2 linked regions of the Callithrix jacchus genome follow. The protein of the gene in region 1 interacts with the protein of each later gene in a pairwise test. Links are inferred from orthologs where the notes say so. Each region holds a gene or a part of one and is shown on either strand. Other genes may lie near its edges. The genes, in order: DRG1 and ZC3H15.

Region 1 (4,452 bases):
TTGATCTTGAGGCAAACCGCTTTTAAAACCACCACACAGTTCCTGGACGTCCTGGCTTCCTCTCCATGTGACACTTGGGGAAGAGGAGTCTTTTTAAATTTTATTATTACACATGTAATACATGGATACATTCATCTTGTAAAAATTTAACTACAAAATTCTGTGGAATAAAATGTGAAAGGCTTCTTTCCTTGCATCCCGTCCCAGTGTTAAGAGTTTCTGAGGCCGGGCGCGGTGGCTCAAACCTGTAATCCCAGCACTTTGGGAGGCCGAGGCGGGTGGATCACGAGGTCAAGAAATCGAGACCATCCTGGTCAACATGGTGAAACCCCGTCTCTACTAAAAATACAAAAAATTAGCTGGGCACGGTGGCGCATACCTGTAATCCCAGCTACTCGGGAGGCTGAGGCAGGAGAATTGCTTGAACCCAGGAGGCGGAGGTTGCTGTGAGCCGAGATCGTGCCATTACACTCCAGCCTGGGTAACAAAAGCGAAACTCCGTCTCAAAAAAAAAAAAATTCTGATGTATTTTTCTGTCTAGGCCTTTAAGCAATGCACGTTCATACATGCACGCCTATATAAATGTACATCTAATTTTTAGAATAACATAAATGGTTATCACTACATAGATGCCGTTCCGCTAGTTGTGTCTTTTCCCATTTAACATGTCCTGGAGATCAAGTAAAAACACAGGTCTACGTTTTAATGGATGTAATATTTCAAAAACAGGATAGAGATATTATTCATTTATCTATTTTCCTACTTATGGGTGTTAATATAGTTTCCAATTTTTTGGCATTACAAGCTATGTTGCGAGCAGAGTTCTCTGGGAATTATCCATTTACGTATGCACTTACTGTGGGCTCCCCATGTGCTCTACTTGGGGATTGGAGTAAACAAAACAGACATAAAAATAGTTTTGAATGATAGGATGGGGGAATTTTCTTTTTCCAAGGGGGTGAGACAGGCTCAAGATGGGTCTCTATGCCCTCGCAAGACCAAAGAGGCCGTCGGGATGTCAACCCGGCTGTGAAAAGGGGAACCCAGGACCCGCAGATGCTGGCGAGGAACACGGGTGCAGAGCACATGAGTCGGCTTGGGGTCTCCAGCCCGAGGCGTTCAGTACCACGCAGGGCGAGAGGAGCGGATCACGCCGGGCGGGGCCGAGCTGCGCGCGACCCTCCGCGCGCTCGGAGACGCCCAGACCGGGGCAGCCTCTCTGGCCCCCGGCTCCCGCGGGCTCTATGACACCGCACTGGCTCGTGGGACGGGGCGGGGTCAGCTGACGGGGAGGAGGTGGCCCCACGCTATACGTATCGCGCTGACCCTTACGTGACTCTCTCGCGAGAATTCGAAGTACCGCGCCTGCGCACTGCAGTAGCGCCTAGTGCCGGTGGCAGTTTGCCCGCGGGTGTGTGAAGAGAGACAGTCAGTGTGGAGGCCACAGGGTACTCGCCAGGATGAGCAGCACCTTAGCTAAGATCGCGGAGATAGAAGCTGAGGTAATGGACGCAGCTGGCGCTTCACTCAGTCGGAGCATCCCTTCTCGGTGGCGTCGCTCTTGTTCTCGGTTGAACCGCGTCAGGACCCGGCCTAGATTCCGCGACTTCTCTTAGCGAGGCCGGTGTTCCGACTGCTGTCAGCCACGACTCGGAGTCTCAGACTCTCCTCAGCCGGGAGGAGAGTCTCCTCCTCCTTTCCCCTTGTCCCGCGGCCACGCTCCTGAACTCCCCTTTGCCGGGGCCCGCGTTCCGCACCCCCGCATCTTAGGCCCTGGGTCGGTACCCCCTCCCAGTGTTCAGTTCCTGTTCTGAAATTGTTTCTTTCCGTTCTTCTTTTTTCCTCTGAGCAACACTGAATACTGTCCCTTATTCCATCTCTGGCTTGGTAAGATACTTAAGGATCTTTCCTCATCATCCCTCGCTAGGTCCTCCTTATTTCCCCTTTTCCCAGTCGCTACCCCAATGACCCCTGATGAGAGTATTTGTTCCGGTAATCGGAAATGGAAGTAAAATGACATCTGTCTGGGAGCAGTTTATTCCACCTGGATAGTGTGTGATTCCGTTGCCTGCGGCCCTCAGAGTGCTTTACAATTAGGAAAGTGGTGTCCCTGTGTAGTCAGATGGGGCCTAACGGCTACAAACAGTAGAAAAGGAACCCACAGATGGGTTTTAGTCTAGTCTGGGGGCACTAACTGGAATGACCTGAATCTTGTCTCTTCTCTTTGCCCCTCACTTTGCTCTGTATTGAGGGAAATGAACTGGATTGGGGAGGGAATGGACTTTTACTCTTTTGAAGCCTCTAAAATGGTTATGCTGACATTAGTAGGACTTGGGTAAAAAAAAATATTCTCTCAGAGCTGGGGGAAGCATTCATTCCGGATATTTTTACCCTGTTAGGAACTGCTTCTGATTTATGGCTGTGATTCTTCCCTTATAGATGGCTCGGACTCAAAAGAACAAGGCCACAGCACACCACCTAGGGCTGCTTAAGGCTCGTCTTGCTAAGCTTCGTCGAGAACTCATTACTCCAAAGGGTGGTGGTGGTGGAGGTCCAGGAGAAGGTTTGTGTTTTTCTTCTATATATATATTTTTAGGCATAATTTCTGTCAAAATAGTACATACATGTGGTTTAAAAATAACTAAAGATGGCCCAGTGCAGTGGCTCAACTTCTGCAATCCTGGCACTTTGGGAGACTGAGATGGATCACTTGAGGTCAGGAATTCAAGACCAGCCTGATCAATATAGAAAGACCCCCATCTCAAAAAAAAAAAGTTTGTTTTTTTTGTGTGTGTGTGTACCAGAGTTTTGCTCTTGTTGTCCAGGCTGGTGTGCAATGGTGTGATCTCGGCTCACCGCAACCTCCACCTCCTGGGTTCAAATGATTCTGCCTCGGCCTCTTGAGTAGCTGGGATTACAGGCATGCACTACCACACCCAGCTAATTTTTTTATATTTTTAGTAGAGATGGGGTATTTCGTTGTTGGTCAGGCTGGTCTCAAACTCCTGACCTCAGGTGATCCACTTGCCTTAGCCTCCCAGAGTTCTGGGATTACAGGTGTGAACCACCATGTCTGGCCAAAAAAAGTTTTTTTAAACGAGAAAAATAACTAAAGATGTTGTACTGAATGAGATTTATATTTTCTAAGTATGAATTCTTGAACTATGTTTGTTTGTTTGTTTACTTATTTGAGATGGAGTTTTGTTCTTACTGCCCAGGCTGGAGTGCAATGGCGCAGTCTCTGCTCACCACAACCTCCACCTCCCATGTTCAAGCGATTCTCCTGCCTCAGCCTCCCGAGTAGCTGGGATTACAGGCATGTGCCACCATGCCTGGCTAATTTTGTATTTTTTAATAGAGATGGAGTTTCTTCATATTGGTAAGGCTGGTCTTGAACTCCCGACCTCAGGTGATCTGCTTCCTCAGCCTCTCAAAGTGCTGCGATTACAGGCCAGAGCCACCACGTCCAGCTGAACTATGTTTATTTTTATTCTGCTGGTTTCAGAGGCAAATGGATATTGTTTAAGTGTACTGTAGTTTTATTTATATTCTGCACTGATACAAAATAGATTTACATGTGCTGGGTGCAGTGGTTCATCCTTGTAATCTCAGCATTTTGGGAGGCTGAGGTGGGAGGATTGCTTGAGGCCAGGAGTTTGAAACCAGCAAGACCCTGTCTCTACAGGCTTATGAATGAAGGGTCCCCCTGGGTATGAAAGATGTGCAAAAAAAAAAAAAAAATTGGGCCGGGCGCGGTGGCTCAAGCCTGTGATCCCAGCACTTTGGGAGGCCAAGGCGGGTGGATCTCGAGGTCAACAGATTGAGAACATCCTGGTCAACATGGTGAAACCCCGTCTCTACTAAAAATACAAAAAATTAGCTGGGCATGGTGGCGCGTGCCTGTAATCCCAGCGACTCAGGAGGCTGAGGCAGGAGAATTGCCTGAACCCAGGAGGCGGAGGTTGTGGTGAGCTGAGATTGCGCCGTTGTACTCCAGCCTGGGTAACAAGAGTGAAACCCCGTCTCAAAAAAAAAAAATTAGCCTAATGTGGTGGTGCATGCCTGTGGTCTCAGCTACTTGGGAGTCTGAGTTGGGAGGATTGCTTGAACCTAGGAGGTAGAGGCTGCAGTGAGTTGTGATGGGGCCACTGCACTTCAGCCTGGGTGATAAAGCGAGATCTCATCTTGAGAAAACCAAAGTAGATTTACATTGGCTTACAGAAATATGTAAATCTGTACCGTCAACAAGGTTAAAAATAAGTAAGGACTTTGATGCAAAGGGAAAATGAAGATAGGAAAAATAAGTTGAAGCCAAGAGAGGTAAGATTAGGACTAAAAGGGATGGCAAAAGACCTGTGCACTTGCTAGACAAGGGCCACAAATTTGACTCTGAACTTGTTTGCAGCCATTGTAAAAAAATGAAAACCCAGTCAGTCATGCAATTTACAGAGT
Region 2 (3,145 bases), on another chromosome or scaffold:
ACACGCTGTGTCCCTGCAATCCCCTGGGCTGGCCCACTGCCCAAGTCCCTTTCAGTCTCAAGTTCAGCCCTCTCAAGTCTCAGGTTGCCGTTTCAATAGAACACCCGGACAAGCACGCCCTGTGGGGATCGCTGGGTAGGGCCAGCCGCCGCCACCCCGGCTGCCGGCTTCTCCAGGCAGAGCCTCTGCCTGGTGTCCCGCGTCTCCTTTATACTTGGGAATTTCCCCGTTCTGTGGGCAACAAGGATCAGTCTGAAAATGCAGCTTTGACTCACCTCTCTGCGGATTAACCGAGAGCTTCAATCCTGGGTTGTTCTCACAGTGCCATCTTGAGTTCCTCCCAACCAAATTGTGTCTATTTTAAATGTATTATCACCCTAATTTTTCAGGGGATCTTAGTGCCAAAAACCCTCAGCCCATAGTTTTTTGGTGAATTTGTTTACACTTATATTAGTATGTACTATTTTAACACCATGGATCTCAACAACGTTCTTAACCAGTACTTGATTCAACTGTAGGTGATATTTAATTTGTTTGATGATTCATCAATTCAGAAGTTACCCTTTTTTTAACATCACCTAGAGTCTCTTTTGGAAGCTTAGTATTGTGTTATTAAATTCATAGTAGTACTGTTAGTACTCTAGATGGTTCTGTAATAAGTATTAAGAAAACATCCCTTATGTGATACTATAACAGATATTTAGTTAAAATATTCAAGCTAGGAATGTTAAATTTTTCATAGAAAAACTTAAAAGAAAGCCCATATTTGGATTTTAATGTATGATAGTCTTTATTTACAACTTTATTGGCAAAAAAAAGGGGAAAACTTTTAAACAATTTAACACAGGGCATTGTAGCTGACCCTGTCAGATAAAAGAAGTTCCATTTTAAATGTCCATTTAATTGTCCAAAGATATACAATACTGAATCTGCATATGCAGTTTCCTTTATGAAATACAGTGCTGACGTTTTAGGCAGTCTTCTAAACATACAAATACAAAGGAAATTAAATCACTCATTAAGAACTCTGTCAAATGAAGGGTATTTTAAATGTGAGTTTTTGTTTCTGGTAATAGCACATGCCCAAATGAAAACCAAAAGATGGAAAAGCAGATACACTTCTTACTTGGGTGGACAGTTACAACAATCAATCATTTTCTGCAATGACCATTATATTTTCAATTTATCATGAACTAGTCTGAACTTACTATGAGATGAAGCCAAAGTCAGAAGAGAAGACGTAGGAACAATACTCCTTTTTTGTAGGAGGGTAAGTCCTCCAGAATCAGCATGGGAAATAAACATCCTGTTGATTCTAGGTGGAAAAAATTAATGAAGTCAATTTCAACTCATGCTGAGCTGACTTGATTTTTGCATTGACTTGTTTGGTGTCATTCTTCTAAATCAAGTGTATTTAGTTCTTCTTCTAGTTCATCCAAATCCTCTCCAGTGAAAAGATTTTCATCAACAGGAACAGCATCAATAGCTCCATTTTCCGGTCCCTCTCTTTCGTTGTCCTCTTCCAAGTCACTTCTTTCACCATTTTCAGCCCTACCTCCAGAAGCTTCATTTAATTTGTTTTCTAAAAGTTAAAATTAGAATCAGTAAGGTGTAGAAGGAGAAAACACCATCCTACATTAGCAATAGACAACACGGACTGATATTACACTTCCTCTTTTCCTTTTCTCCATGAAAGCCTTCCCTAGAATTATTCCAGCAAGAACCGATCCTTCTTTTCTGAGCTTATTTGTACCAATTATCTATACTCACTACAAAATACTGATTTTCACTGTAGACATCTGACTGCTTAATTGTTTCTTCTACAACTCTGTGTTCCCTACATGACTGAGCAATTAGATTTTAATTAGTCAATTTCCATACAGTATTTCTGAATAAGTGGTTATGGAAACCAAAAAATGTTTGTAATATAAGCAGCTACTTGGCTTTTGGTTTTGTAAATAGTATTTAAATCATGATGTTGTAATGCTGTGATTGTGACAGCAGAAAATCATCATGTAATCAAATGGTTAACAAAAAAAAAAAAACCTAGTGGTATACAGCTACTTTTCCTTATAGATTAAAACGACTGAGAAAACAAAAATGCTGCCTTTTTTGTTCCGTGCCATTAACATTTGCACAGACATTTTTAAACAGCCTAATTTAGATTTCAGCTATTTCAAACATCTCTGATGACAAAGTCTTGGGAATTTTATAATCTCTAAAGTATTTGCAGTTGTGCCTATTGTCAACAAAACCCACTTCTATAAAAAACAAGTCAATCTAAATACTAGCAAGACAATGCTTTGATAACACTCTCAGATCCTGGGAGGGCAAGCTGGTTTTTCAAGTTATAGCTTGTGTGCTTTTATGTAAAAATAAGGTTCAGCCTTTTGTCTCAGCTTTTGCCTTAACTGGCATTTCTTCTGCCTTTTTCTTCCATAGCAAGGATGCCAAACTTTCACCCCTTTCTTCAAGCACCTAACTCAAGGCACAATTAGACATAAATTATACCAACAATCCTAGTCAGCCTTCCCTCCATTCTCACACCTAACTCATTATTTATACTTTTTACGTCTTGCTTCCATAACTAATTTCCTTTATCTTCAACTTTTCCTCCTTACCAGATGCACTTTCTCTCACCTACAGATACATACTTACCAGATCTTCTTCCTCTGACCTACAGAGATACACTTAGGTTTTCCATATCCTAAAAAGCCCTTCCCATGACCATGTCTTTCCTCTAAACACTGAGAGGACTGTATTCATTTTTCTTCTCAGTTATTGCAGTCTCAATGAAACTGGCATCCTATTCCTATAACCAATTACAATTAGTAACTTATTTATATTCGTTTTCACCCTACTTACTTCTTTGGAAACTTGTTTCTTAAATTTTCTCTGACCTTCTCAGTGTCTTTCCTAAGCATTCCTTCTTTTACCTACCTTGAAACACTGATACTTTGTGCAGGGCATTCATGTCTATACAATATCCTAGACAGTGCCACTTTGGATAATGAAAAAATCTCAAACTCATGAGGTCCCAAAGTAAACTCACTGGCAATAGCTCCAAGTTCATTTTTGTCTCCTTCTAGTTTCTGTTAATGATTTTAATATCTACACAGCTGCTCAGGTCTTCAGCCTTCACTCT

What was found.
Region 2: the proteins of DRG1 (region 1) and ZC3H15 interact in binary tests that used the Homo sapiens proteins (3 or more experiments, as listed by UniProt). The two-hybrid records come from large-scale screens. The link is inferred for Callithrix jacchus from reciprocal best matches to the Homo sapiens genes DRG1 and ZC3H15.

Annotation. Positions count from the first base shown.
Region 1 is NC_133502.1:201,888,033-201,892,484, forward strand, and holds the start of DRG1 (developmentally-regulated GTP-binding protein 1), read left to right. Parts: upstream 1-1,395; 5' UTR 1,396-1,460; coding exon 1,461-1,502; intron 1,503-2,439; coding exon 2,440-2,563; intron 2,564-4,452. UniProt on the Homo sapiens protein: Catalyzes the conversion of GTP to GDP through hydrolysis of the gamma-phosphate bond in GTP. Appears to have an intrinsic GTPase activity that is stimulated by ZC3H15/DFRP1 binding likely by increasing the affinity for the potassium ions.
Region 2 is NC_133507.1:42,485,142-42,488,286, forward strand, and holds the end of ZC3H15 (zinc finger CCCH domain-containing protein 15), read right to left. Parts: intron 1,583-3,145; coding exon 1,392-1,582; 3' UTR 766-1,391; downstream 1-765. UniProt on the Homo sapiens protein: Protects DRG1 from proteolytic degradation. Stimulates DRG1 GTPase activity likely by increasing the affinity for the potassium ions.